3 linked regions of the Xenopus tropicalis genome follow. The protein of the gene in region 2 binds, or shares a complex with, the protein of the main gene of each other region. Links are inferred from orthologs where the notes say so. Each region holds a gene or a part of one and is shown on either strand. Other genes may lie near its edges. The genes, in order: stac3, cacnb3 and cacng1.

Evidence for each region.
Region 1: cacnb3 (region 2) and stac3 share a complex: the UniProt entries of both Homo sapiens proteins name them as parts of the calcium channel complex. The link is inferred for Xenopus tropicalis from reciprocal best matches to the Homo sapiens genes CACNB3 and STAC3.
Region 3: cacnb3 (region 2) and cacng1 share a complex: the UniProt entries of both Homo sapiens proteins name them as parts of the calcium channel complex. The link is inferred for Xenopus tropicalis from reciprocal best matches to the Homo sapiens genes CACNB3 and CACNG1.

Annotation. Positions count from the first base shown.
Region 1 is NC_030678.2:140,074,636-140,083,188, forward strand, and holds the start of stac3 (SH3 and cysteine-rich domain-containing protein 3), read right to left. Parts: upstream 5,009-8,553; 5' UTR 4,901-5,008; intron 1-4,900. UniProt on the Homo sapiens protein: Required for normal excitation-contraction coupling in skeletal muscle and for normal muscle contraction in response to membrane depolarization. Required for normal Ca(2+) release from the sarcplasmic reticulum, which ultimately leads to muscle contraction.
Region 2 is NC_030678.2:135,901,747-135,910,109, reverse strand, and holds the start of cacnb3 (voltage-dependent L-type calcium channel subunit beta-3), read right to left. Parts: upstream 4,940-8,363; 5' UTR 4,829-4,939; coding exon 4,787-4,828; intron 1-4,786. UniProt on the Homo sapiens protein: Regulatory subunit of the voltage-gated calcium channel that gives rise to L-type calcium currents. Increases CACNA1B peak calcium current and shifts the voltage dependencies of channel activation and inactivation.
Region 3 is NC_030686.2:51,094,725-51,103,154, reverse strand, and holds the start of cacng1 (voltage-dependent calcium channel gamma-1 subunit), read right to left. Parts: upstream 4,789-8,430; 5' UTR 4,732-4,788; coding exon 4,491-4,731; intron 1-4,490. UniProt on the Homo sapiens protein: Regulatory subunit of the voltage-gated calcium channel that gives rise to L-type calcium currents in skeletal muscle. Regulates channel inactivation kinetics.

The sequences.
Region 1 (8,553 bases), about 4.2 Mb from region 2:
CAAAAACAATGTCCTAGCTTAAAGGAAAACTATACCCCCAAACAAACGGTCTCTTTAAATAAGCTCGTAAGTAAAACCCTGCTTCACCTAAATAAACCATTTTCATAAAAATTTACTTTTTAGTAGTATGTGCCACTGGGTAATCCTAAATAAAGAATTAAGGGCCTCCCCCTGGGATCATAGGATTCACAGTGCACACAAACAAGCCAAGGCACACATACATGCTAGGTCCCATCAGCCAATGAATGGACAGAGTTCTGCCTTTTGCTCCCATACTACTTCCTGTTACAGTTAGAGCTACATCACTTCCTTTCAGCTGATCTCTGAGGGGGCACACAGCCCATCACTAAATGGTGGCTCAAGGGAAAGGATGTAATAGGGCAATATTTACTGATATATATTCCAGCAAGATTCTTTAATAGGTCACTTAACATAATATAAATATCTGTTGGTTATGTATTCATTCTGGGGGTATAGTTTCCCTTTAACTGTGAGCTTTCAGGTGTATCTAGGAGGGAATAAGAATTTCTCCACAAATCTTACTGTAAATGGACATTAGTCTTTAGTCCACCCTGTCACTGCCCAGGCCACTACAAAAGGGCCATCACTAGGGTTTGGCAACTGCTGTTATAATATTTATAATTTATTGTCAAAAAATGTTTACAAATCCTTGCTAGAATTTCTTTTGGTGATTGTTTTGGCAAATATACGCTTTTTGCACCATACCAAACAAAGAAAAAAATGTAAATTTTAAGCACATGCTTAATACATAATACAATTGAATCTTTGGAATAAAAAAAAAACAAAAGGGATACTCCCCAAACAAATGTCAATAACAGCATTGTACAATGATAGTATCCAAAGTGTTAAAGGGGTAGTTAACCTTCAAGTAAAATGTTAATATGCTATGGAAATGCAAATTCTTTTCAATTGGTCGTCATTTTTTATTTTTATTGTTTTTTTTTTAATTATTTGCCTTCTTCATCTGACTTTTACAAGCTTTCATATGGGGGTCATTGAGCCCAGCAGCCCATAAATAATTGTTCAGTGAAGCTACATGTCTATTGCTAGTGTCATTTTTTATTACTACTCTGCTGTTCATATTCTAATCTCTAAACCTGCCTGGTTTCTCTGGTAATTTGGAGCCTAGCATACAAAAAGAGAGGGGGATTGATCAATGCACATTCCCTGGTCCCCTGTTTCATACAGTAAGTAAATTGTCTATGCTAGTGCATGTATTGACAAAAAACAGGGGTTTTTAGTTACAAAATTATGATCATAAGATTGGTAAGCCACCATACCACGTCAAGGTAAACCCCATATGGTGGTCCTATCTATTTACCTCTGGTCATATTTTTCTAAGGCTGTCACTCCCGTGCCCTGTTGCCATTCTTGACCTGGGGGCTGGTTTGAGTCAGAGGGCTTAGTCACTCCCATGCCTTCTGCTTTTATAGAGAGAGATTGCCAGGACCACAGCTTGGTTCTACGGGCTTAATCCTCCCCCACGTGGCTTGTAAAGGAGAAGACTGCTATGGGCAGTAAGTTTGCTCCATCATAGTCATGTAGAAGTTATTGCAGCAGAATACAGATACTTCTCTTGATTTGTGGCTTCAGCAGAGTGGATTTCACTAGGGAAGCTACAAGTTTTTCTCTTGTTTTAGACATTTCCAGTATCTACAGGTATGTGAGTCTCTGCTCCATAGAGCATACAGTGGAAGTAGGGTGCCAGAAGGTTACAAAGGTTCTAAATTCTGAAGAACAAAAGAATGTAACGAATGCAGAGATCAATCCCATGCCTCTCTGAGTCAGAATGTAATGACAACCTTTTTCTGGAGCCGCCAGCTTTGTCACAGAACAGCTGAGCTTCAAAAAGGCAGGATTCAGCCTCTATTAATTTTTCGCCCCCTTTGTACACTGCCATAAAAATGGTTGATTCATAAATACTGACTTACCATAAGTTTATTTTGGCTGCTATCTAGATACAGTAGCCTACAGAGTAATCCAAATACATGAGGCTAAAATACAGGATTGTGCTAACTAGCATTATATCTGTGTGTTCAAGGTATGGGACCTGTTTTCCAGAAGGCTCAGGGTTCTTTCCATAATGTATGTATGTATATCTTTATTTATAAAGCGCTACTTATGTACGCAGCGCTGTACAGTAGAATTCATTAATACAGACAGGGGGTTAAAGATAATGGATAAATACAAAAGATAATGGATAAATACAAAGTACAACAATAAATACAAGGTGCAGTTGGAATAAGAGTCAGAAACACAAGATGAAGGAGGTCCCTGCCCCGTAGAGCTTACAATCTATATGGATCTATAATTTGGATCTTCATACTTTAAGTCCACAAAAAAAAAAATAATTAAACCGTTAAACAAACCCAATGGATGGTTTTACCACCAATATGGATTCACAGCTTAGCTACCATCAAGTACAAGGCACTGTTTCATAATTACAGAGAAAAAAAAATAAAATTATATGGGTAAAATTGAGTCTATGGGAGATGTCCCCTTCCATTATTTGGAGCTTTCTAAATAAATGGTTTCCAGATAACAGATCTCATACCTGTATCCGACATCTGATCCAGTCAGTAAATGCTTTCTTTGAGGATCCCTATGGGTGCCATGTGTAATCTAATGAAGCAACAGAACATTGTATTTCGTACCGAAAACTGCTAGTTCACTGAATGTTTTGGAACTATGAAAATTCTTTCATCTCATATTTTGTACAGGGAACCGCTAGTTCACAGAATGTTCTGGAACTATGAAAATTCTTTCATCTCATATTTTGTACAGGGAACCGCTAGTTCACAGAATGTTCTGGAACTATGAAAATTCTTTCATCATCGTATTTTGTACAGAGAACCACTAGTTCACTGAACGTTCTGGAACTATGAAAATTCTTTCATCACAAGGGTGTTCTAGAGCTGTTGGCGCCATACTCCCTACCAGCTGTATTCCTATATGCCACCTACACATTGTTTAAATACCATTGTTTGAATGCATGCAGTATAATTACGCAAATACAGCAAGCAGAAAACCATAGACGCCTGAAGCTTTCGGTATATTAACCACAGACAGTGCTTGGGGTTTTGTGGACAAACTATTTTCGTAAGCAGTGTAACTGAAGCCCTGGAGATATTAAAAGCCATGTTTGATGGCTGATAACAGCTGTACTCTGTCTGAGCGCTCTGATGGGACATCATCCCACACAAATTCTAAAGGCTTGGCAGCTGACTGTATACTTTTTGTAGATGCGAGGGGTTAAAATTAACAGCTTATGTGTCCAAAGACAGGACAGAAACAGTGAATGTGACACAGGCAGTTTGCATCTTGTTGTAAAGAGAAAGCACCTTCCAAAATATTTGGATGGAAGTAGATGTAGATGCTGGCACTCATACTCACACACATACTGTACATGTATAAAGGCTGCTACTGAATGGAAGAACATACTGGTGTTTCTTATTGGGGAGTCTTTGGCAGCACCTGAGTGATGTGTGTGTTTCACACTACCTTACAGCCCCAGGAGGCAGCTATTAGGACCAAACAAGAGGTAAAGAGATTAAATTACATTAGATCCCCTAACATATCTAGTATGGAATTATCCTAGAATAAATAAAAGTTAAAGACAAGAGAAGACAATTTTTTTGGCCACTAACCATTCCATTTTAGCTAGGGCAGTCTCATGTTTTGGGTTATGAAATGGTCGCAGGCTTACTGAAAAGTGGGTGGAGTTATGGGCAGGTTTGGGTGTGGTCTTGTGGAGTGGAAACATGGCCACAAATATCCCCATTTTTAATCAGCATTGGCAGGAATGTAAGCGGATGTTTGGCAAAGTGCCACTGACACACCCACTAAAGTTTATTGCTTACACACTGGGAGGAAAGATGGGTGATCACAGTGGGTTTTGAAAATGAGTCGATTAGATAAGATATGCCTATAAGCTATTTTATTGGTTCTCTAAAATGTATGGCAGCCAACTTGTTTCACAGCATGAAAAAAATTATCAGATTATAATGTCGGGGGGAATGAATAAGCAGTAGAATGTTTGAAAAATGTTTTAACTACTAGGCAAGACTTAAAGAAACAAGATCTGTTCGATTTTCTTTTACTTATGATATAAAATCAAATTGCAACAGTGTTTTGGTTTGCGCTGCCTAAGCTTAGTTTTCCAGCATTCCGTGTATCCATTTAAGGACTGTAAAGGCTGCAGTGATGGAAACAGTGGGTTCCGGACCGGTGCTCCATGACTCTTATAACCAAATGTTATTTTATAAGGATAGCTAGAATCTCAGCCATAAGGCAGAAGTAACAGGATATAGACATTAAATGCAAACATAAAGATAAATAAAATATTTCTAAAACTGAAATAAATCACTGTCACAAGAAATCCCTATACAGTGATCTAAAGTATTAGAACAAACACTATAATGATTGCATCCCCTGTAAAGCAATAAATCTTTGTCTAAAGAGCTTACAATTTGTGTTAAGCATTTGTTAGTGACTTGCTATAGTCAGAAAAGCAAATGAAACCAAGGTAATGTGCCTATTTCAGGAATAGGCATCTTGCCCCCTTTCCCCCATAATTCTTGCTGAACTACAACTATCAGAATCCCTGCGCTTCTGCCTCAGCTGAAACACTACAGTTCCACTGTATTTAAACTCACAAAAATATATCATTGCTATAAATAATGATAAAGATCAATATATTTATTAACAACCTTGATGTGGCCGAAACATTGTGTATGTGGAATTTTCTTTACAAGATAACTAAAATGAAATCCAAGCAGGTACATGATATTTTGTTTTATGTGGCATAAAGATCATTTAAAAGGAAATACAAAGAAGCATTAAAGGGCAAACAGAAATGGCGTACAATGCCTAGACAAACCTTACACACCTGTAGTTCTCAGATGGGGATCTACTGGAACATTTTGTCTTCAGAAGGCACTTTCAGACCTTAGGTGAGGGGCACAGAGATCCTTCGTTCACTCCTCTCAGATAATGAAACAAACTGCTCCTCAGAGGAGAGGGAGTGACAAGTGTGGAGGTGACAGGACAGCTGAGAGGCAAAGGCTGACACAGAGAAATCGGAAACTTTACAAGCAGCCATAGCACGGAGGCAGTAGGCCCAACCAGGAATTGGAGAGGTGGCTGAGAGGTGGGAAACTGAGGAAAGCGCAGGAGTCATTTCATTCCTGGGAGTTTGTCACACACACAAAACAATTCCTATTTTTACTGGAATTCAACTTGGAAATGATAATATGTTTTGGTTTTAAATGTGCTTTTTTTTCCCTCTTTCCCACTAATGAATATGAAATGCCAGGAAAAGGCTTCAGGCCTGTTTGTGGTTTGGCAGAAGGAATTCCAGAAGGGAGGCAAACAGAAAGGTAAATTATTCAGAAGAAAGAAAAACATCTATAAAGCTTAGATTGCTTAGATTAAATTGCTCTGTGAAATACTAAAGGTTATGTGTTGGGGAATCACCAGTTTATATGCTTTGTGTAATATAAAAATGGCAGTCAGTATGCTAAGCATTGGAAGATATTTTACCCAACACATTCACTGCATTCCATGGATAGAATTCAAGAGACTCAAAACATTCCAACACTGGCTCTAAACATTCTGTTATAATAATTTCAGGAAATGTGTTTCACCTTTAAATTAATTTCATGGGATGGCCAATTTTTAGCAACTTTTCAATGGTCTTTTTATATTTTTTGTATCATTTTGTGCAGCTTTCAAACGGGGGTTACTTATCTTTCTATTCATCCACTCTACTATTCATATTCCAGTCTCAAACTACTGCCTGGTTGCTAGGGTAATTTGAAACTTAGCAACCAGATAGCTGCTAAAATTCCAAACTGAATAGCTGCTAAACAAAAAGCTAAATGCATTGAAACCACCAATAATAAAAAATGAAGACCAACTGCAGATTGTCTCAGCATGTCACTCTCTACATCATACTAAAAGTTAACAGTGGCGTAAGAATGGAGGAAGCAGACCCCACAGTCACCAGGATGGGGGGGGGGGCAGGGGACAGGGGGGCCCGGACCACAGGGGTTGCTTCCTCCAGTACTGCATATAAATCTCTGCTCCGCGTCAGCTTTCAGGTAAGAGAACAGGCAGGTGTGGGGATTCATATGGGAGTGGGCACAGAAGCCAATTCAGGGGGGCAGGGGAGTCTCCAATGAGTCTCCTTGATGACCAAAGAACACAACATTCTATTTTTTTTTTTATTCTGTTCAAAATCTGGAGAATTATTCTCATAGCATAAAAAAGTGTACATTTTATTGTGACGCTCTTCCGTTTAGTGCTAATGTGCAGCTAGATTTGTTACGGGGGGGGGTTAACTTTCTAGAATGGAGCAGCTATAAGTTTATATGTGTTTCCAGCACCAGTTTGCTCGTCTGCTGATGCACCATGCGCAGGGCAACATCTTGATCAGCAGATGGAATAGTGGTACAAATGATCAACCAGTGATAATAAAAACAATTAAATGTCACCCGTTTAGAGGAGGCACAGGGTTGTCACCCTATTATATATGGCAGAGCATCTTTCATACAAAGAGCAGATAATGGGGAAGCCAAACAAACCACACAACATGGGTTTGACCTGCTGAAGCTACAAGTCAGTAACAGTTAGAGGGCTGCAGGTATGTACTGAAACTTTGTATCTTCACTGTCTCTGCTCTACCCTTACACTTACCCTGGCCTTGGATGTTCCCACACCATGAAACTATTAAGGGGAAGTATTACCCTTTTTCTCTAAAACAGACATTAAGGGTCTCTCTGCTAATTAAGAAATAGCTTTTGCATTTCATTTAACAATTTCAGTTAACAGCAAGTCAGCAGCACATTTATGTTTCGGTCTATAAAAAACATTAGATCTCTGCAACGGTGAGAAGTGGTACTGCAAGTCAGGGCTTCATGGCGACCCATTTAATAATTGTTGGCTATACACCCGTTTATTCACACACAGGCTTAGGGCGAAGACACACGGAGCTACTAGTAGCAGCTACTTGTCACGGCTACTAAAATAGACAATGCTGATCATTTACTGATAATTGTCTCTATGGGGCAGATTTACTAATCCCCGAACGGGCCGAAAGCGTCCCTATGAGTTTTTTCGTAATGAACGGTATTTTTGCGACTTTGTCGTTGCAGTCGCAACTTTTTCTTATGTCCCACTATTTTTTTTCGGCGCCATCGTGACTTTTTCGTATATTTTCCGCGACTTTTTCAAAAATCAGATTGGTTTTCCCGCCATTTACTATCGCTCAATACGATGAAAAAGTTGCGCAAAATACAAAAGTCGTGACGGCAACGAAAAAGTCGTGACAAATACGAAAAATCGCGACAGCGACGAAAAAGTCGCAAAATTTTCGTTTCCAATACGATTTTTTCCCTTTCGGGATTCGGATTCGTGGATTAGTAAATCTGCCCCTATGTGTGTTTTAGCAGAGGCAATTCATAGTATTGTCTATAGCAGGGTATTTTCTGGTGTTTAGTAGCCGTGACAAGTACTGTACTAAGTAGCTCCATTTCAGTATGATGTAGAGCAGTGATCCCCAACCAGTGCCTCAGGGGCAACATGCTGCTCCCCAACCCCTTGGATGTTGCTCCCAGTGCCCCCAAACCAGGGAGTTATTTTTTAATTCCTGACTTGGAGGCAAGTTTTGGTTGAATAAAAACAAGATTTACTACCAAATAAAGCCCCTGTAAGCTGATAGTGTGCATAGAGGCTGCCTAATAGCCAATCTTAGCCCTTATTTGGCTCCTCCATGAACTTTTATGGTGCTTGTGTTGCTCCCCAAGTCTTTTTACATTTGACTGTGGCTCACGAGTAAGAAAGGTTGGGGATCCCTGATGTAGAGAGTAATATTCTAAGACAATTTAAAATTGGTCTTCATTTTTTGTGTTTTTTTTGTTCAACAATTGTTCAGTTTGGAATTTCAGCAGTTCAAAGTACCTTAGCAACCAGGGAGTGGTTTCAATGAGAGACTGGAATAAGAATGTTAGAGGTCCCTGATAGAAAAATAACTAATAAAAAGTAACAATAAAAGTGCTAGCCTCACAGAGCAATAGTCTTTTGGCTGCTGGGGTCAGTGACCCCCATTTGAAAGCTGGAAAGAGTCAGATGAAGAAGGCAAATATTTAAAAAAAACCTATAAAAATAAATAATGAAGACCAATTGAAAATTTGTTATATTTTTTTTATATAACATACCAAAAGTTAATGAAAAATTGAACCACCCTTTAAGGATACAAATTCTGCACCCAGCATTATCCGGTTCAGCCCCCCCTGCCCCCCGATGAAAGAAAAACAAACAGTAACGCAGAACTGCTAAATCAGTCAGGGGAAACATTCCCCAGCTAATGGTAAAATATGCTGAGCAGCAGCTGTCCCTGCCTCCTGTTTGCCCACGTGCCATCCTAGGTGAACCAGCTGATATATCCATAGATACACAGGGAGTTCTATGTACATCCTATGGCTGTATATCTGTTTGCCTTCGCTGCTTATGGCATGGCCCCTTCAGAGGGAC
Region 2 (8,363 bases):
TTCCAGCTGCATCAATGAAACATGTATGTGCCGATGATCAAGGCTGGTATTAGAAAGGGGCTGATGAAGAAAGGATTGAACCCAGTTTGAAGTGGAAAATGATAAATCAGGGTTGTCTAAACTGTGGCTCTCCTGCTGTTGCAGAATTACAGCTTTCATTATTCTCCCATAGTGCTTGTTGCAGTTCAACAGCAGATGAAGGGCTGCCGGTTGGACATCGCTAACGTATGTCATAAAAATATTTAACATATGTCTTCTGGGATAATGGTCTCACTGCCCAAGCCCAAAAGCTGAAGGAACCTGTCTATTCCCTTTGTTAAGTTGTACAGAAGGGCCCTGTAGATCTAAACAACCACCAGGCCACGGGCTTAGTGTGTGATAATAATGTGGCATCCTGTGTAATTATCTCTGTCCTGTTTTATCAAGATTAAATTTTCATATTTGGGGGATTAAACTTTTATATTGTGCCTTGTTTTGTATATATGAATCCTGGACTAGTGTCATGCATTTTTAATCTATGCTTTTTTTTTTACTGTCTTTCTACTTTTCTTATTTCTCCACTGTGGCAGCGGTGAGCGGAAGCTGAAAAAAGAGCACCTGGTACATCTGTACAAAAGAGAATCAGGCACTAGAACAAAAATCTGCACCTATCTCTAGATGCTGGGAACTGCTCCTACTGCAGCTGTACCCAATTTGGCAAATTCACCACAATTGCTAGGGTTGCCACCCAGTAGGTATTGTACTGGCCCTGCCAGTCAATGTCACACATTTGGGGGATAAAGGATAATTTATCCCTGAAATGTGTGACATTGACTGTATGACTGAATCTGAGAGAGGTAAAGTTATATGCAGGGCAAGCTGAAAACTCACCTCATGACGGCAACAACCTTCACGTTACCGGGGTGGCAAAAACCAGACAGGTAGGGTAGGGTAGGCATAGTATAGCACACATAGGCCGGGTAAGCAGGGAGAGTATGGCACACACAGTCAGGGTAAGGCAGTGTAGGGTACTGCCATACTCTGCCTGCCCTATGCTGCCTGTGTGAGCCATACTCTACCTGCCCTGTGTTGCCTGTGTGTGCCATACTCTGCCTGCCCTGTGTTGTCTGTGTGAGCCATACTTTGCCTGACCTATGCTGCCTGTGTGTGCCATACTCTGCCTGCCCTATGTTGCCTGTGTGTGCCATACTCTGCCTGCCCTGTGTTGGCTGTGTGTGCCATACTTTGCCTGCCCTATGCTGCCTGTGTGTGCCATACTCTGCCTGCCCTATCTTGCCTGTGTGTACCATACTCTGCCTGCCCTATGCTGCCTGTGTGTGCCATACTCTGCCTGCCCTATGTTGTCTGTGTGTGCCATACTCTGCCTGCCCTGTGTTGGCTGTGTGTGCCATACTTTGCCTGCCCTATGCTGCCTGTGTGAGCCATACTCTGCCTGCCCTATGTTGCCTGTGTGTGCCATACTCTGCCTGCCCTGTGTTGCCTGTGTGTGCCATACTTTGCGTGCCCTATGCTGCCTGTGTGTGCCATACTCTGCCTGCCCTATGCTGCCTGTGTGTGCCATACTCTGCCTGCCCTATGCTGCCTGTGTGTGCCATACTTTGCCTGTCCTATGCTGCCTGTGTGTGGCATACTCTGCCTGCCCTATGCTGCCTGTGTGTGCCATACTCTGCCTGCCCTATGCTGCCTGTGTGTGCCATACTCTGCCTGCCCTATGCTGCCTGTGTGTGCCATACTCTACCTGCCCTATGCTGCCTGTGTGTGCCATACTTTGTCTGCCCTATGCTGCCGCCTGTGTGTGCCATACTTTGCCTGTCCTATGCTGCCTGTGTGTGCCATACTCTACCTGCCCTATGCTGCCTGTGTGTGCCATACTCTGCCTGCCCTATGTTGTCTGTGTGTGCCATACTCTGCCTGCCCTGTGTTGGCTGTGTGTGCCATACTTTGCCTGCCCTATGCTGCCTGTGCGAGCCATACTCTGCCTGCCCTATGTTGCCTGTGTGTGCCATACTTTGCCTGCCCTATGCTGCCTGTGTGTGCCATACTCTGCCTGCCCTATGCTGCCTGTGTGTGTCATACTCTGCCTGCTTTATGCTGAAAAAAAATGGTGATTTGCATTTGAATTTTGCAGTTTGTACATTGCACATTGTACTCTTTTTGGAAATGAGCCTTCATATGTATCTGTGCATAACTGTGGCCCCTATCCATACATAAGACATTGCATGAAACATACAGTTTCATGCAATGTCTTATGTATGGATAGGGGCCACAGAATTCCAGCAAGGAATGAATTAGGGGAGGAACAGAATGCTTTACCCATCCCTCCAACCAGGGTTGTCTAAAAAAATAGAGGGAGGGACACCATATGCCTAATTGGCCACGTCCCCAGTATGCTCAAACCCAGCAACAATCTGTTTTCTGCATTTCTGCACCGACTTGCAAACTCATTAACGCATGTTTAGTAGTGACATCATTATGATGTTTTTGTACATTACACATGGCAAGGAGTACAGTCAATGGCATACTTATGGAGGGGAGCAGCCTTTACATTCTAGTGATAGGGCCCACAGTGAATATCTGCTGAAAATGCAAAGTCTCACGTTTTTTGGTGGATATCGGCTACATGTGCCTGCCCCCAGTGTATTCCACTCATTCGGGTGCAGGCATAAGGTAGGCCAATTGTTACATTTTTCAGGCTTGCTGAAAATACACTCCTTGTGGCATTAGTTTTAAGGCCTAAATCTAACAATTCATGTTCTTTCACGTAACCCTTATCATTGCCATTAATTGCCATTAATGTATCTTAAAACATGCACATTTATATCCCGAAACAGTCCTTTTGTGATCACCAAAGATGGCCAGCTATATAGGGTAAACAGCGTAAAATGTACTCATTTAGATGGCAAACAAATAAATCTTTGGCCAATTTAGCACATCAAGTTGCGGCCAAAATCAGGCTTATGTAACACAGAGCACTTGGGCCAACAATAAGACCATATAGAGTCACTATACAGGTAAAGGATCTGTTATCCAGAATGCTCAGGACCTTGGGTGTTCCAGATAAGGTGTCTTTTTCATAATTTGGATCGGCACTAAAAAAAAAATGTAAACATTAAATCAACCCAGTAGGATTGTTTTGCCTCCAATAAGGATTAATTGTATAATACTGTTTTATTATTACAGAGAAAAGGAAATATTTTTTCAAGATATGATTTATTTATCTGGATAATGGATCTCATACCTGTATTTAGTTTAATCCACTAACTATAATTATAAGTTTTTTGAAACCACAACTAAACTCATTTCCACTAAAATTATGAAGGTCTAGTCATTTATTAAAAGATCCAAATTGAAAAAGCACAAACGAATAAAAATGCAGAATGAAAAGGAAAAGAACATGAAAACCATAAAATTTTTGTTTTTGCTGCCATCTGTGAGCAAATGCGCTACAATAGAAAATTGGTTCTGTTTTTACCAGTGTAAAGTACTTTCTGGGTGTGATTTGCACTTATTGCAGAAATGGCTCTGTGTCCAGTCTGCCATTGAAACCACTATCCCTTGTAATGTTGCCATACATGGGCTCATAAAAGGTGCTGACTTGATCCTTTGGCAGCTTATTGAAACATGTATTGGTGACCATGCCAAATAAGAGGATCTTACATTGTATGCCCAGCTTTACTCTAGCAACCACACAAGCTCAGCTTTTAACAACACAGCAGCAGAAATAATTAAACCATCACAAAGAAAAATCAAAATCAAAACTGGATATTTCTGGTGCTATAATAATAAATGATGATGATATTGACTAAGAACAGCATTCCCATGCTGTAAATTCGTTTTAAGATGAATCTCCACTTTAATGGTTCTGGGCAGATAAAAATACTCTAATTTCTAATGTAAATCCACCAAGGACTATTGGGTTAGTGGGGCCCGACTGCTTATTATATGTGTAGCTCAGCAAATCTATGTTATTAGTCACAGAGAAAACAGAACCATGGCATGTAGGTAGGATAATGGAGGCAAGTGTAAAAGCTGATTTCAACACAGCCGTGGATTATGGGTGGTTTGGGAAAGAAGGCAATGATGAGATAGTTAACAGTCAATTAAAATCAGAGACAAGCTGATTAGGAGCCATCTCTTGCAATCCAGCTGAGCCAGAGCCTGTCATGCCTGATCCTTTTCCCTCCGTCTCAGCCTCCCTCCCTGGCTAAATCATGTTCATTTGTTGCTTGTCAGCAGCTGTCAGTTTCTCCATGATCGCTGTCTATTTGTTTTTTCTTCTTATACATTTCCATATAATAAAAGATCATTCCACCTGGCAATAGCTACTGCCTTTTAAGTTTTCCTTTTGCCGAGTGTATGGTGCCTTATTACTATTAATTTTTAACCTTTATTTTTGGATTCATACACTAACGATTCAATACAACAAAGTACAGTGACATTGGTGTTGCTCATAATCCTATAGAAGACAATTTAGTAGTATCCCTATTCACTGCTTCCCCCCCCCACACACACAATATTAATGTACCAGCATGCCCCTTCCCAGTTTTCTTTCTGTTTGTGGTCAATGGTGGTACCTATCCCCTGTGCCTTTTTATCCCCACCTTTACCTTTGTTTACCATTCTTCTGTGTTTCAGTAAAAAGCAAGAGGTTTTATATTAAAAGCACTAAGCACAACATGGCTCATTGCACATCCCCAAAAAGCTGCTCTGTTCTTCAGATAAAATAGCCCTCAATGCAACAACACTAACCTTCCCTTTAAGGCAGTAAAGAAAGGCAAATGGTTACCTCATTCAGAAGAAATGTTGCACTGGAGTCAGAGAAAGACATAGAAGGGGCATAAATAGCCCAAAGCCGCACTCTCAGAAGCTTTTTTTATATACAAAGCAGACTTTGCATTCTCTGTTTATCTGCCTCGCTGTGCTCATAGCTTTTCTCTCCATCAAACACACACAAAACACACAATTTCTCCCCTTCCCTGCCTCTCTTACTCCTCCTTCTGTTTCTCTCATTTCATTTCCACCTCTCAGTGCCTAAGCCTGGCTGAAATAATGGATTCACAGACATTTAAGTGCCGAATAATTGTATTAATGGCTTGTGGCAACACAATGGGGGGGAAAAAAATCTTTGAAAGGCACAAATGGATTTTTTTTTTATTCTGCAAGGAGCAGCCCCCGGCACATAGCTTACCATTCCCTGTCCTTTAAGGCCACTCACAATGAGCAATAATTCCACATCTACAGGCAATGACCTTTATTGGCAGGGCTATGAGCTCATGTTCAGTGATGGATATACAGCAGGAGTAACTACACATTGTGATAGAAGCCTTGATCAATTTCTTTCATTATATTGAATGGAAAAAGATGGAGATATGAGTTCTATAAAGACTATAGGGAGTCATTAACTAAGTGAAAGGCAGGCTGCAAAGTGCAAATAAAGGGTGCAATCTTAAGTTTGCACTTTGCACACTGCCTTCCACATTTTTGAATTGCCACAGGTCTCTGCACCTGTGACAGCCTCAGTGAATACAGTGCTGCCTGTGTTAGGCAGCAGGGCCGCTCCTGCCATATGGCAAGGTGAGAACAGCAAAAAGCCACCTTTGAAACTATTGAGAGTTGAATTTTCATTGTTTAAAATGAAAGTTCAACTCTTCTATTGCGGAATAAGAAATTGTATCCACCAGTGCTTTGCCAAATGGCCACTAATTGTGTTGATATTGGAGGGAAGATGGAACATGGGGTAAGTCCATATTAGGCTAATTAGTTTGCAATTTACCTTTCTAAGTTTAGAAGGGAATAATTCAGAATCAGTTTAGTTTAATCAGTTCAGAAGGAAATCATTCCTCTCTGTGTGCCCCAACTGGCAGCTCCCATTCTTCTAAATCAATTTGTAAAATGTTTCCTACAAGTTGAATGTGATGGACTCTAATCCAGGTTGGTGTTACTATGTATTATGGGGATGCACCGAATCCACTTTTTCGGATTCGGCCAAATCCCCGAATCCTTCGTAAAAGAGTTGGGCAAATACCAAACCGAGTCCGAATCCTAATTAGTATATTCTTATTAGGTTTTGGAAGGGTTTAACCCTTCTACTGCCAGCCATTTTGGTCAAAGCGGAACTTGTATTGCCAGACAGTTTTTGAACATTTTGCACTGTTTCACTTTAGGGGCCTTTCCTCGGGGGGACTTTTAGTTTACCAAGGAAAACAATATATCGTTTTTTTCAGAACAACCTAAGCTTTCAAAATATGGTAGAATTTTTGTGTAATTCCAATTCTGTAACAAGATATAGGCTTCTAAATGTCTAAAAATGCAAAAAAAATCAAATTTTCCATAATATAATCACACATACTAGAAACAAAAATTATTTTATGCACGAATATACAACTGATTTGGAAAGTCCCATGTCTCCTGAACGTGCCAATACCAAATATATATAGTTTTATGGAGATTTCTCACTTGTATAGGTCAAAAACTCCCAGCAGTACACTACCAAATTCCCAAAGCACTGCTCCAAAAAAACTGCATACTTTGGATTTCAAGGCCAAAATTCCACTAACAGAAGGTTTATCCCAGAAAATTGTACATTTTTGGAAAGAACAGATTCTGGGGAATACAGAATAGGCACAACTGTCTGTCTACTCCAAACTATCAAGTCGCAATGCTTTCCTAAAGTTATTGGTTTTTATCAAAATTTGTGATTTTTTTTAAAAATCGCTTCAAAGCTTCCAGTCTATAGTATCTTATCTCCTACAGGTCATAAAGTAACCAAATAAAACACCCTAAATATGAATGCCTGGGGTCCACTGAACAGTTTGATGCCCAATATGTATAGGTTTACCTAAGTATGTGGCATGTAGGGGCCCCAATGTGAACATACCCCATATGAACTGTCATTTCTGTCATTTCAGCTTCTGCAAAATCAACACATTTACATCATTATATGTGGGATAAAGCTAGTAAAAAGTATGCTCACCCCAGAAAGTCATATATTTTTGGAAAGTACACATTCCCCCGAATCTAAAATGGGTACCCATGTCTTTCTACTCCAAAGTACCAAGCCGCACAGCTTTTCTAAAGTTAGCAATTTTGATGACATTTCCAAAAATCCCCTCAAAGCTTCCACTTTGAAGCATCTTATCTCCCACATAGCATTAGGTACCAAGATAAAACACCCTGAATTTGAACGCCAGGGGTCCACTGAACAGTTTGATGCCCAATATGTATAGGTTTACCTAAGTATGTGGCATGTAGGGGCCCCAATGTGAACATACCCCATATGAACTGTCATTTCTGTCATTTCAGCTTCTGCAAAATCAACACATTTACATCATTATATGTGGGATGAAGCTAGTAAAAAGTACGCTCACCCCAGAAAGTCATATATTTTTGGAAAGTACACATTCCCCCGAATCTAAAATGGGTACCCATGTCTTTCTACTCCAAAGTACCAAGCCGCACAGCTTTTCTAAAGTTAGCAATTTTGATGACATTTCCAAAAATCCCCTCAAAGCTTCCACTTTGAAGCATCTTATCTCCCACATAGCATTAGGTACCAAGATAAAACACCCTGAATTTGAACGCCAGGGGTCCACTGAACAGTTTGATGCCCAATATGTATAGGTTTACCTAAGTATGTGGCATGTAGGGGCCCCAATGTGAACATACCCCATATGAACTGTCATTTCTGTCATTTCAGCTTCTGCAAAATCAACACATTTACATCATTATATGTGGGATAAAGCTAGTAAAAAGTATGCTCACCCCAGAAAGTCATATATTTTTGGAAAGTACACATTCCCCCGAATCTAAAATGGGTACCCATGTCTTTCTACTCCAAAGTACCAAGCCGCACAGCTTTTCTAAAGTTAGCAATTCTGATGACATTTCCAAAAATCCCCTCAAAGCTTCCACTTTGAAGCATCTTATCTCCCACATAGCATTAGGTACCAAGATAAAACACCCTGAATTTGAACGCCAGGGGTCCACTGAACAGTTTGATGCCCAATATGTATAGGTTTACCTAAGTATGTGGCATGTAGGGGCCCCAATGTGAACATACCCCCATATGAACTGTCATTTCTGTCATTTCAGCTCCTGCAGAATCAACACATTTACATTATTATATGTGGGATAAAGCTACAAAAAAGTACGCTCACCCCAGAAAGTCATATATTTTTGGAAAGTACACATTCCCCCGAATCTAAAATGGGTACCCATGTCTTTCTACTCCAAAGTACCAAGCCGCACAGCTTTTCTAAAGTTAGCAATTTTGATGACATTTCCAAAAATCCCCTCAAAGCTTCCACTTTGCAGCATCTTATCTCCCACATAGCATTAGGTACCAAGATAAAACACCCTGAATT
Region 3 (8,430 bases), on a different chromosome or scaffold from region 2:
CATACATACAAACCTATTTACATACATATTTACATACATACCTATTTACATACATACCTATTTACATACAGACATACATATTTACGTACGTACATACCTATTTACATACAGACATACATATTTACATACGTACATACCTATTTACATACATACAAACCTATTTACATACATACCTATTTACATACATACCTATTTACATACAGACATACATATTTACGTACATACCTATTTACATACAGATAAACCTATTTACATACGTACATATTTACATACATACCTATTTACATACAGACATACATATTTACGTACATACCTATTTACATACAGATAAACCTATTTACATACGTACATATTTACATACATACATATTTACATACGTACATACCTATTTACATACATACAAACCTATTTACATACATACCTATTTACATACATACCTATTTACATACAGACATACATATTTACGTACGTACATACCTATTTACATACAGACATACATATTTACATACGTACATACCTATTTACATACATACAAACCTATTTACATACATACCTATTTACATACATACCTATTTACATACAGACATACATATTTACGTACATACCTATTTACATACAGATAAACCTATTTACATACGTACATATTTACATACATACCTATTTACATACATACAAACCTATTTACATACATATTTATGTACATACATACTTATTTACATACATACCTATTTACATACATACCTATTTACATACCTATTTACATACCTATTTACATACATACCTATTTACATACATATTTATGTGCATACATACCTATTTACATACATACCTATTTACATACATATTTATGTACATACATACCTATTTACATACATACAAACCTATTTACATACATATTTATGTACATACATACCTAGTTACATACATACCTATTTACGTACAAACATACCTATTTACATACAGACATACATATTTACGTACGTACATACCTATTAACATACATACAAACCTATTTACATACATACCTATTTACATACAGACATACATATTTACGTACGTACATACCTATTTACATACATACAAACCTATTTACATACATACAAACCTATTTACATACATATTTACGTACATACATACCTATTTACATACATATTTACGTACATACATACCTATTTACATACAAACCTATTTACATACATACATACATACATATTTACATACATACCTATTTACATACATATTTACATACATACCTATTTACATACATACATATTTACATACATACCTATTTACATACATACCTATTTACATACATACCTATTTACATACATACCTATTTACATACATACATATTTACATACATACATACATATTTACATACATACCTATTTACATACATACCTATTTACATACATACATATTTACATACATACCTATTTACATACATACATATTTACATACATACCTATTTACATACATACATATTTACATACATACCTATTTACATACATACATACCTACATACATAGAGAAAGAAAGTTTGCCAGCGCTTAGTTTGCCTTTAAAAATAATTTTTACAAAAAATGAGGTGTTAGTACCACACTTTGGCCAAAATATGTAAGCTCACGTGCCGCGTCAAGGCCCCTCATTATACGCGAGTCCTACACTGTCTAATGACTTTGAGTCTGTGATGCAATTAAAATAAAGTCCCCCAGGAAACAATGTGAGTGAGTAGTGAGACCTATTGCACCTTTAGCTCAAACCCCAGCTCAGTAGCACTCACATGGAAGTGATTCATTGGTTTAAAGGCTACATAGCAGCTAGAAGCAATATTTGGCTACAATTTGTACACAAATTATACCTACATACATACCTATTTACCTACATACATACCTATTTACCTACATACATACCTATTTACCTACATACATACCTATTTACCTACATACATACCTATTTACATACATACATACCTATTTACCTACATACATACCTATTTACCTACATACATACCTATTTACATACATACCTATTTACATACATACCTATTTACATACATACATACATACCTATTTACATACATACATACCTATTTACCTACATACATACCTATTTACATACATACATACCTATTTACATACATACCTATTTACATACATACATACCTATTTACATACATACCTATTTACCTACATACATACCTATTTACATACATACATACCTATTTACCTACATACATACCTATTTACATACATACATACCTATTTACATACATACATACCTATTTACATACATACATACCTATTTACCTACATACATACCTATTTACCTACATACATACCTATTTACATACATACATACCTATTTACCTACATACATACCTATTTACATACATACCTATTTACATACATACCTATTTACATACATACATACCTATTTACATACATACATACCTATTTACCTACATACATACCTATTTACATACATACCTATTTACATACATACCTATTTACATACATACATACCTATTTACATACATACATACCTATTTACATACATACTTACCTATTTACATACATACCTATTTACATACATACCTATTTACATACATACATACCTATTTACATACATACTTTATGTATTTCCCTCTGCCCAGTGATCACTAACAACCCCCCATAGGGGTAGGAAATATGGGGTAGAGGGCAGGGAGAAGTTTAGGGGGTCCCTTGCTCTGCCTCTTACCCCCAGTGACCAGATACTGGGGAGGGGCATCACCTGAATCACCACACATGGGGCCACTGGGTGGGGGCAGACCCATGAGTGTGGGGGGGCTGCAGACAGAGGTGGCCCCTCCTATAATCCATGGGCCCTACTCCCCCCGCACCAGTGATAGATGGTCCTGCCTTGGTATACTGAGCCTCATAGGCCAGCGGATTGCCATATGGTCCTACCCAGTGAGTGCCCTGAGGTCCTACCCAGTGAGTGCCCAACGGTCCTACCCAGTGAGTGCCCAACGGTCCTACCCAGTGAGTGCCCTGAGGTCCTACCCAGTGAGCGCCCTGAGGTCCTACCCAGTGAGCGCCCTGAGGTCCTACCCAGTGAGCGCCCTGAGGTCCTACCCAGTGAGCGCCCTGAGGTCCTACCCAGTGAGTGCCCTGAGGTCCTACCCAGTGAGTGCCCTGAGGTCCTACCCAGTGAGTGCCCTGAGGTCCTACCCAGTGAGCGCCCAGAGGTCCTACCCAGTGAGCGCCCTGAGGTCCTACCAGTGAGTGCCTAACGGTCCTACCCAGTGAGCGCCCAGAGGTCCTACCCAGTGAGCGCCCTGAGGTCCTACCAGTGAGTGCCTAACGGTCCTACCCAGTGAGCGCCCTGAGGTCCTACCCAGTGAGCGCCCTGAGGTCCTACCCAGTGAGCGCCCTGAGGTCCTACCCAGTGAGCGCCCTGAGGTCCTACCCAGTGAGCGCCCTGAGGTCCTACCCAGTGAGCGCCCAATCGTCCTACCCAGTGAGCGCCCTGAGGTCCTACCCAGTGAGCGCCCTGAGGTCCTACCCAGTGAGCGCCCTGAGGTCCTACCCAGTGAGCGCCCTGAGGTCCTACCCAGTGAGCGCCCTGAGGTCCTACCCAGTGAGCGCCCTGAGGTCCTACCCAGTGAGCGCCCTGAGGTCCTACCCAGTGAGCGCCCAATCGTCCTACCAGTGAGCGCCCTGAGGTCCTACCCAGTGAGCGCCCTGAGGTCCTACCCAGTGAGCGCCCTGAGGTCCTACCCAGTGAGCGCCCTGAGGTCCTTCCCAGTGAGCGCCCTGAGGTCCTACCCAGTGAGCGCCCAATGGTCCTACCCAGTGAGCGCCCAATGGTCCTACCCAGTGAGCGCCCTGAGGTCCTACCCAGTGAGCGCCCTGAGGTCCTACCCAGTGAGCGCCCAATGGACCTACCCAGTGAGCGCCCTGAGGTCCTACCCAGTGAGCGCCCTGAGGTCCTACCCAGTGAGCGCCCTGAGGTCCTACCCAGTGAGCGCCCTGAGGTCCTACCCAGTGAGCGCCCAAGGGTCCTACCCAGTGAGCGCCCTGAGGTCCTACCCAGTGAGCGCCCAACGGACCTACCCAGTGAGCGCCCAAGGGTCCTACCCAGTGAGCGCCCAAGGGTCCTACCCAGTGAGCGCCCAAGGGTCCTACCCAGTGAGCGCCCAAGGGTCCTACCCAGTGAGTGCCCAAGGGTCCTACCCAGTGTGCCCGGCTGAGGTCCTACCCAGTGAGCGCCCTGAGGTCCTACCCAGTGAGCGCCCAAGGGACCTACCCAGTGAGTGCCCAACGGCAATAAGGAACCAATATCAATTGTTCATTAAGTAGGGCCCCCCCGGCCCCCACACTCCAGCCCCCCTATGTGGAACAGTTACAGGTTGGCCCCCAGATGAAATGGGAACCCTGGAATCAGAATTTGGGGGGCAAGTTGGGGAAAGAATCTTTGTTGCCTGGTTACCCTGACTTACTTACCCCCAGGAAGGCTCAGGGGGCCACATCCCTTGATCATAGTCTCCTGATCACTCATGAAAATCTTCTTCTTACACAGCCTCCATAGGCCAAAGTGGGCCACCTCGCAGGACTGGGTGTCGTCGTCCAGTTTGGGGCTCAGTACGGCCCAGTGGTCGCTCATTACGGCCGCCAACATGAGCGAGATGCCCACCAGGGCGATACAGGACGTGACCCGGATCTTCAGCACCTTCAGCTCCTTCATGGCTACTGGCTGGGGCCCTTGGCTAGTGAGCGCTCAGTCTACTCCCTCTGCTCTGTGGCTCCTTGTGCTACTGGGGCCGACACTGGGGGAGACTGGGATGGGCCGGGCCCGGGAGCAGCTGTTGGGATCAGTCACCAACTGGGCACAGACATGGGTGGGGGGGCGGGGGGGGCTTATTAATACACGGAGCGGGGGGGGGGTGCCACCTTCACTCCAAGTGTCGCAACTTCCCCCGTCCCTCCTGTCACTCTGATAGTTGCACAACCCCCTGCTATTGATCAACTGCCCCGTCCTACCCCAACTGCCCCATACTGCCCCTGATCCTACCCCAACTGCCCCATACTGCCCCTGCTCCTACCCCAACTGCCCCATACTGCCCCTGCTCCTACCCCAACTGCCCCATCCTGCCCCATACTGCCCCTGCTCCTACCCCAACTGCCCCATACTGCCCCTGCTCCTACCCCAACTGCCCCATACTGCCCCTGCTCCTACCCCAACTGCCCCGTCCTACCCAACTGCCCCATACTGCCCCTGCTCCTACCCCAACTGCCCCATACTGCCCCTGCTCCTACCCCAACTGCCCCATACTGCCCCTGCTCCTACCCAACTGTCCCATGCTGCCCCTGCCTCCTACCCCAACTGCCACATACTGCCCCTGCTCCTACCCAACTGCCCCCATACTGCCCCTGCTCCTACCCCAACTGCCACATACTGCCCTGCTCCTACCCCAACTGTCCCATGCTGCCCCTGCTCCTACCCCAACTGTCCCATACTGCCCCTGCTCCTACCCCAACTGCCCATACTGCCCCTGCTATTGATCAACTGCCCCGTCCTAGCCCAACTGCCCCATACTGCCCCTGCTCCTAGCCCAACTGCCCCGTCCTGCCCTACTATTGATCAACTGCCCATCCTACCCAACTGCCCATACCCCCCCCCCAACTGCTCCATACTGCCCCTGCTCCTACCCCAACTGTCCCATACTGCCCCTGCCCCTACCCCTGCTCCTACCCCAACTGTCCCATACTGCCCCTGCTCCTACCCCAACTGTCCCATACTGCCCCTGCTCCTACCCCAACTGTCCCATACTGCCCCTGCTCCTACCCCAACTGTCCCATACTGCCCCTGCTCCTACCCCAACTGTCCCATACTGCCCCTGCTCCTACCCCAACTGTCCCATACTGCCCCTGCTCCTACCCCAACTGTCCCATACTGCCCCTGCTCCTACCCCAACTGTCCCATACTGCCCCTGCTTCTACCCCAACTGCCCCATACTGCCCCTAGCCCAACTGCCCTGTCCTGCCCCTACTATTGATCAACTGCCCCGTCCTACCCCAACTGCCCCATACTGCCCCTGCTCCTAGCCCAACTGCCCCGTCCTGCCCCTACTATTGATCAACTGCCCCATCCTACCCCAACTGCCCCATACTGCCCCTGCTCCTACCCCAACTGCCCCATAATGCCCCTGCTCCTACCCCAACTGCCCCATACTGCCCCTGTACTAGCCTTTGCTCCTTTCAGCCTCTTGCACCAAGTCACTATCAACCCCCTCATTGCTTTATGCAGGATTGGGGGGGGGGGGGGCACAGTACCATGTAAAGTGACACCATGCAGTTTATTAAAGGGGAACTCTGCACTCCCCAATATCCACTTAATGTTCCTTAATGTTTTGGGGCCCAGATTAGGCCAATCGGATGCGGTAGTTCTGAGTGTAGAAGATGTGATTGGCCGGGGGGCAGCGGGATGGGCCAGTAACAATAGGCCTCTCAGTGGTCGAGGTGTTAATGTGAGTAAATCCCCCCCCCCCCCCCATCAGCCCTGGGACTTAGTTTCTCCCGCTGGCCCAGTCGGGGGTTAAGGGGGGAACTGAAGTTGGAGTGAAACGTGGGCCAATGTGCTTCCCTGGGCAAAGGCTGGGCCCCATTTCAGCAAAAGGAATGAACACTTTGGGTTTACTTGTCCTTTAAACAGCAGAAAGGAATCTGCGACTGATGCGATGGGACAAGTGAAGCGAATCCATTGCGACTCCTGAGCTACAGCACCCACAGTTAGGGAATCCGACTCCCAGGAACATCTGACTCACCCCAAAACCCCCCAGTCCCTGACTCGCCCCAAAACCCCCCAGTCCCTGACTCACCCCAAAACCCCCCAATCCCTGACTCACCCCAAAACCCCCCAGTCCCTGACTCACCCCAAAACCCCCCAGTCCCTGACTCACCCCAAAACCCCCCAGTCCCTGACTCACCCCAAAACCCCCCAGTCCCTGACTCACCCCAAAACCCCCCAGTCCCTGACTCACCCCAAAACCCCCCAGTCCCTGACTCACCCCAAAACCCCCAATCCCTGACTCACCCCAAAACCCCCCAGTCCCTGACTCGCCCCAAAACCCCCCAGTCCCTGACTCACCCCAAAACCCCCCAGTCCCTGACTCACCCCAAAACCCCCCAGTCCCTGACTCACCCCAAAACCCCCCAATCCCTGACTCACCCCAAAACCCCCCAGTCCCTGACTCACCCCAAAACCCCCCAGTCCCTGACTCACCCCAAAACCCCCAATCCCTGACTCACCCCAAAACCCCCCAGTCCCTGACTCACCCCAAAACCCCCCAATCCCTGACTCACCCCAAAACCCCCCAGTCCCTGACTCACCCCAAAACCCCCCAGTCCCTGACTCACCCCAAAACCCCCCAATCCCTGACTCACCCCAAAACCCCCCAGTCCCTGACTCACCCCAAAACCCCCCAATCCCTGACTCACCCCAAAAACCCCCAGTCCCTGACTCACCCCAAAAACCCCCAGTCCCTGACTCACCCCAAAACCCCCCAGTCCCTGACTCACCCCAAAACCCCCCAGTCCCTGACTCACCCCAAAACCCCCCAGTCCCTGACTCACCCCAAAACCCCCCAGTCCCTGACTCACCCCAAAACCCCCCAGTCCCTGACTCACCCCCCACCCTCTCGTCTGACAGCTGAGGGATTGCGCCCTATGATTGGCCACTTACAGAAGCTGGAGGGTCAGGTGATGCCCAGATTTACAGGCAGTGGCGCTGTTGTGCTGTAGCCCTATGGGAAATACAGGATGTTGGCTGCTAGTGGTGAGACCTGGTACTGCAACCGATAATTTCCCTTATATTTCCTGCACCCCTAGACACAGCGGGGGGCCCCTGCGTAGTACAATCAGCTACAAGAGAAGCACATTTGCCTTTTACCTGCCATTGAGCTCAAGCAGGGGGGCCCCACTGGGGAGAAGGAAGAACAACAAGGGATAATGTACCCCCTACTGTAAATGATAAGGATATTAGCAGTCACTGAGGGGTTCTGTGCCCATATAAAGGCACAAGGCTGCAGGCTGAGTTATACAGGGAACTCTGAGTATCACTCATGTATTATAAGGGATAATGTACCCCCTACTGTAAATGATAAGGATATTAGCAGTCACTGAGGGGTTCTGTGCCCCCCATATAAAGGCACAAGGCTGCAGGCTGAGTTATACAGGGAACTCTGAGTATCACTCATGTATTATAAGGGATAATGTACCCCCTACTGTAAATGATAAGGATATTAGCAGTCACTGAGGGGTTCTGTGCCCCCATATAAAGGCACAAGGCTGCAGGCTGAGTTATACAGGGAACTCTGAGTATCACTCATGTATTATAAGGGATAATGTACCCCCTACTGTAAATGATAAGGATATTAGCAGTCAC